Kluyveromyces lactis: one gene and its partner. The protein of the gene in region 1 interacts with the protein of each later gene in a pairwise test. Links are inferred from orthologs where the notes say so. Each region holds a gene or a part of one and is shown on either strand. Other genes may lie near its edges. The genes, in order: MIA40 and ATP23.

What was found.
Region 2: the proteins of MIA40 (region 1) and ATP23 interact in binary tests that used the Saccharomyces cerevisiae proteins (3 or more experiments, as listed by UniProt). The link is inferred for Kluyveromyces lactis from reciprocal best matches to the Saccharomyces cerevisiae genes MIA40 and ATP23.

The regions. Positions count from the first base shown.
Region 1 is NC_006040.1:228,082-231,503, forward strand, and holds MIA40 (Mia40p), read left to right. Parts: upstream 1-1,484; coding exon 1,485-2,705; downstream 2,706-3,422. Other genes in the region: palmitoyltransferase YKT6, read right to left, coding at 483-1,085; mRNA splicing protein SPP382, read right to left, coding at 3,082-3,422. UniProt on the Saccharomyces cerevisiae protein: Required for the import and folding of small cysteine-containing proteins (small Tim) in the mitochondrial intermembrane space (IMS). Forms a redox cycle with ERV1 that involves a disulfide relay system.
Region 2 is NC_006039.1:795,240-798,067, forward strand, and holds ATP23 (putative metalloprotease), read left to right. Parts: upstream 1-1,304; coding exon 1,305-2,048; downstream 2,049-2,828. Other genes in the region: KLLA0_C09108g (uncharacterized protein), read right to left, coding at 194-820; ARE2 (sterol acyltransferase), read right to left, coding at 2,183-2,828. UniProt on the Saccharomyces cerevisiae protein: Has a dual role in the assembly of mitochondrial ATPase. Acts as a protease that removes the N-terminal 10 residues of mitochondrial ATPase CF(0) subunit 6 (ATP6) at the intermembrane space side.

The DNA of each region.
Region 1 (3,422 bases):
GAGTGACTTTTGGAGCTGCTGTTTACCTCCTGTATATTATGTGTTTGGGGGGGATAACGCTGTGAGTAAGTACTCCGAATTTAACAGGCAGATAACGTAATATCAGGTGAGCAGGCAATGGTCGGTCTTGGACCTTATGGTATCTTGGACAAAAGACAGCGTCCAGCAAGTAGACTCCGTGGCCAAGCTGGTTAAGGCGTGCGACTGTTAATCGCAAGATCGAGAGTTCAATCCTCTCCGGGGTCGTTTTTTTTGGAGAAAATTTCTTTCAAAATTGATCCGCTGCCCGTACTCAGCCAGATGATGATAGATAAATCAGACCCTAGTGGACAGGAAGGAACGAAAGGCTGATCAAAGGTGGCGGTCAAAACGCCGGTGAAACCTTACTATTACTTTATTTTGATTACTATTATGCTTAATACTCGTAGCAAGGGCTATATATGATCAGGCTGGCCATGTTTTGGCCTCTATTTCAAATCCGTCTACATAACTATACAGCACGAATTGGTTTTCTTTGCTTGCTTATAGAACATCCTCGATGCAGCAGATAGTGATTCGGACTTGTCTACCAAATTGTCCAATTTCTCACCTCTTTGTAATACGTTTTCAATGGTTTTGTGTAGCGTGATCTTGGTCTCGTCTAATTCTTGCTGTACACGCATTATTGCATCAGCTTGAGATGGGTCCTGATACTTGGCAATATAGATATCCAACTCCTTCAACTTGAGCGAATCGTCACTCTCCGTCACGTCCTTCCACTGGATAGGAGGGTGCGCTACCAAATACTCATCCAATACTTTGTTCAACAACGTATAAGCTGGTCTTACTGGGTACTCCTTATCCGTAATCAAAACACCACAAATTCCTTCAGGCCTTGCGTAAACGTGACCTACATAGTTACCTTCTTCAACACTCTGTCTTTGACCAGCACTTGTCCTGCCAGCAACAGTCTCACTGAAAAAGGACATGAACTGTGCAACACTGTTCCTTTCAAAGAACCCAAATTGTGATAAGTCCTTCACAGAACTTAATTCAAGGGTCTTATCATCGCTGTTTCTTAAAACTCCAATGTAATATATCTTCATCCTTGTATCCTGTATCCTGTTTTCTCCCACTTGTCAAATGAGAAAAAAAGCTACTATTTTGCCCAAACTTAACTATTCTTAGATCCCCTATACGTGTACTATAACACTGTCCTTCTCGTCTCCGTGTTATCTTCAAAATACATCATCATTTCCCATCCTCATATCACAATGCTTCAATATCCATTTTGTTTGATATTCGAATTTTTCTTTTTTTTGCTAACAAAGGCATTTTCAATTTGTCAAAGGAACATTTAAAAGAGAAGCTGATTGATACCCACAACGGGAGGAAAGAAATTTGCTTTTAGTTAGGTTTGGTATTTTTACAGTACACTTAGAAAACGTTTGAAAGTTGCTGACGAGTCAATTGATTATAGGCATATACATATTTTTTTGAAGACAATGTTCCGTGTTTCTTTACAAGCTACTAGACGTGTTGCTTTTAGATCCGCTAGACAAATTAGGTTTTACAGTGCTCATCCACCTTCCGGTGGAGTGAGCCATATGAACAAGCCAGCATTGTTGTTGGCTGGGTTCAGTACTCTTGGTGCCATCTACGTTGCTGATGGGTGTCCTACTTTGATTGAGAGGAAGCCTGCTCCTGCTGAGAAGCCTGCTGAAGAGACTCCTGCAGCGGGCCAATCACAATCTATTTCTGAACCTACGAAGGATGCCGATGAATCTCCGGTGTCTGCTCAGGAGGAAGGTGCTGAGCCAGTTACTACTCCTGAGAACGAGATTACTTATAGCGAGGAGACACACCAGGCCTTAGCAGCCACCTTATCAGGAGATGAGCCAGCTGCCATTGAGCCAGTTGCTGAATCCGTCAATGAACAAGCTACCGAACCAGCTGCCAGTGGAGAAGCCACCAATGAACCTGTTACTGGCATTTCCGAGGATACCAAAGCTCCCTCTTTGAGCTTCGATGACTCAAAAACTGCCAAGGGTGTTGTTTTAGAAGATGAAGCTGACAAAAAGGAGATTCAACAAACAAGCCCAGATGCCGTAAAAACCGCCTCAAAAGACGGTTCAGAAGGTGAATCGGATGTTGTTTTGCATGAAAAATCTCCTGCTGAAGCTGAGACCATAACAGAAGCAGAAGAGCAAGCTGAAATTCGGTCTATCTCCGGTGGCACTGCTGAACAGTCCGCTACTGCGGCTGCTGCGGCTGCAGGTGTTCAAGGTGAAAAAAAAAACGAACAACAAACTGCATACAACCCAGAAACTGGTGAAATCAACTGGGATTGTCCTTGTTTAGGTGGTATGGCATACGGTCCTTGCGGTGAAGAGTTTAAGTCCGCTTTTTCATGTTTTGTCTACTCTGAAGCTGATCCAAAGGGTATCAACTGTGTTGAGAAGTTCTCCACTATGCAAAATTGTTTCAGAAAATACCCAGACTATTATGCTGAACAAATCAAGGATGAAGAAGAAGCTTCTGCAGAAGCTTCAAAAATCGAGGATAAGAGCACTACCCCGGTTTCAACTGCCACCTCTACTGTTGAAGTACAAACTGAAAATGCCGTTTTCGAACCTGTCTTGGAAAAATATGTGGAAGAAAACCCTCAACTAAAGGATACTCCTGAAGCTGCCGCTGTCACGAACACTGACGATGAAAAGAAATAGAATCTTCCCGACCCTGAACTGCTGCCGTTAAAGATACTTTTTTAAATTTGCCAATGAGCATCATGAATTCTGACGTTTGAACAAAGATAATAAAACTAAAGCTAAAGAAATTAAAAAAATTACGTGGTTCCCTTGTTTGTGTTATATCCAATTCAAATAAAAGCCCATGGCTCTCGTAATGAACTGACCTGTTCATCGAACTCGCCTTCTTTGTCCAATAAAAAAAAAATTAACATACATTCTTATTACATTCTACAATTCCATTCGACATAATGGCAATGTGAAAACGAACAAAAATCCAATGAAATGTTCTGATAGCGTGTATAAACACTACATAAAGACATTTTCCTAATGATATGCCATGCTTATTCTGTTTTCAAATTAGATCCAGTAATTGGTAGAGAAAAATTGGCTCAAATCTTGATTCTGTTCTGTTTCTCCTTTGTAACCATAAAATATCTCCCATAAGGACTACATTTACTCTTTTATTGTTATATTTACTCACAGTGAATACCGGAGCTACCTTCTCTTTGCCAAATATATTAATTGAGGCAGTATCATTATCAGTTTTTCTGAAGGATAATCCATGATCATGACAAAAAGTTTCTACAACAGTTTTAAAGGTGGTAGAAATTTTGGTCATGGGTGTATTGTTAAAAGCGTTGAACCTGGATTCCGACTGGCCAGTGCTTTCAATTAAACTTTTCAAGGAAAGCC
Region 2 (2,828 bases), on another chromosome or scaffold:
CTCTACTAAGTTCCGCAAATATTTTTTATCGTGACCGTAAAATTTCAGTAGGGTAACATAAAATCATTGACACTATGCGATTGATGATTTAATAGATTACATACACTAGCGAAATTGAAATACATGAATTATAACACTGGACGACCTTTGATTAGGTATTTCTAGTGGAATAAAGTTTTTACGCTTCCAATTTTTATTTGACTCGTTTATTGTTTTCCGAACTGTCATTGTTATTCGAAAAGAATTGATTATGAATCAAATCTCTAATGTACTTTTCAAGCTCTTCTTCTGCGTTTTCACCCTGAATTATGCTCTCTAGTTTCTTTCTACGTTCCAAAGATTCGGGATCTGTCTCGTCTACTGGATCGTTCTCTAACGTGTAACGTATGTTGTCTTTAAATTGATTTAACTGTTCTTTATCAATACCAAGAGAAGTATTGAATATGGTTTCTCCGAGGACTTCTTCCGCATATCTCAAAAGGTCCAAGTTGTCGTCGCATGTTTCTTGCCACACCTGGAAGCATGTCTTTCCCTCGTTATTCAAAAGCTCACGATCAGCTCCTAATTGTTCTATTAGAGACCTGGCTGTAGTCGCATCTTCACAATGGTGAAGTGGTGTGTCATTGTCAGAGTCCTTGATATTTACATCACCATTATGCTCTTGTACAAGCTTCTTTAGCAGGTCGATATGACCATATGCTGCAGCCGCGTGGATTGGGGTGTATCCGTTTTCATCCTTGTCGTTTGCGGTTTGGCCTTGTTTAATAAATTTTTCCACTAGTTCGGTCTCCCCGTTACTAGCTGCGATCCAAATATTCATGCTTCTGAAGTCTGATATAGCTATTGTGTCAGTCTGGGCACTACTGAGAATGAATCTAGACAGAAAGGCAACTAATATCTTCAAACAACTTCGAGAGATGCTGTATAGCTCATCGCCAGCTCAAATCAGTTTAATCGAAAAATTATTAATAGTGAAGGTATAGAAAGGAAAAACCACCAAATCACGTGTGTGAAAAGAAGATTGCAATGTTGTATACACATTTCTGAAATGAACCATTGATAGCATTCCTAAGTGTTTATATGATCTAAGGAAAAAATGTTTATATTCATTTCAGGATGAACACACTATTTTATGCTGAATCTCACTTTTGTCTCTGCACAGAAACAGATCTCCGTAGGTCATCTTCTTCATTCGAGTATCACTTGAAATCATAAGAAAATTTGAATATCTACCTAACCAACAGCACTAGATTAAGAAAAGGAAGGCTTGCAAACCTGTGTACTGAAGCGATAGCCAGTGAAAAATGTCCGTACCACCGCCTCCAAAGGAAGATTTGATAAAACCTAATCCGCCGAAATCAGAATCCGCTGTTAGCGGCTTCAACTGGTGGAGAAGAACGTTCCAATACAAAACGGGCCTGGGATTGACACCGGAAGAGGAGACACAGTACGAGAATGATTACAAGTTTGTGCTACAGCGTAAACAGTGTTCCAAATGTTATGAGTATAGAGATTGGTTGTTAAACTATTCACCAACTGTCATTTTTATGACGCAACAGATAGCCAAACTTAACAACAAAAATACTAATGCAGATGTTTTCAAGTTTGACGAATCGAAGATTATATGTGATGTATGTCCGGACTGGAAATCTGGTGGTTTTCATCCAGATTTAGGTATTCTAATCTGTCAGAATAGAATTAAAGATAAATGGCATTTGGAAGACACTCTGGCGCATGAATTGGTGCATTATTTCGATAATTTGAAATGGGAAGTGGATTGGCTAAATTTGAGGCATCACGCCTGTTCTGAGATTCGAGCTTCAAGTTTGAGTGGTGAGTGTCGGTTCTTCCAAGAATTTGCAAGACGTGGGTTCAATACTGGGTTTAAGGTTGATAGAGGTCATCAAGCTTGTGTGAAAAGACGTGCTGCGATCAGCGTTTCAGGAAATCCAAATTGTAGAGATAAAGAACATGCGGAAAGAGTTGTAGATGAAGTCTGGGACTCATGCTTCAATGACACAAGACCATTTGATGAAATATATAGATAAAATTATCCTTGTATTGTAAACTTTTTGACTTTTCTTTTATATAAAAGGTATCTAGATTTACCTTAACCTTGTACATATTTATTCGACGACCATTCATATGAATATTTCATCATTTTGGTTATTCTGCTCCAAAATTAAAAGATCAAGTACAGCAAACCAGTCATACTTGGTCCTAAACAAATCCCAATCCAGAAGGTAACATTATTAAATAGTTTCTTATCTCTGAGCAATGGAATGTTTGATAAAGCTGTAAATGGAATTTGTGACATTTGCAGGATAATGATATAACCACGGAACTTGTTGAAAAGAACAAACATGGCTAGCTCGTGAAACACAGAACTTAATAAAAATGTGAATAAGGTGGCTTGAACTTTACTCATGTGATACGCACTAATCGAACTGTGATATACATGTCTCAATAAAAAGCTATGCACCGGACGATTCCACAATCTGCTAAAATCATACCAGGAGCAACAGTTCCACCAATCAGAGTAGAAATGGTGGTCTGCAAAACAGGACAATTCGGCCACACAGTTTAAAATTGCATCCCAAATCAAATACCAGACCAACAAAAACATCATAATAAAACCTGGTGCCAAGTCCAACAAGAGCTTCGGCCATACCAGGTTCTTTTCCCATAATGTGAGGTTGGCATCTGCCAAAATTTTAGCTTTCAAAATAACAGGCAGCATGAATTGTTGTGCAACAACCATCATGACAAAGATGATACCAAAGATCGCGCAACATTTCTCAAAAACGTAAAACCATCTTATACGTTTT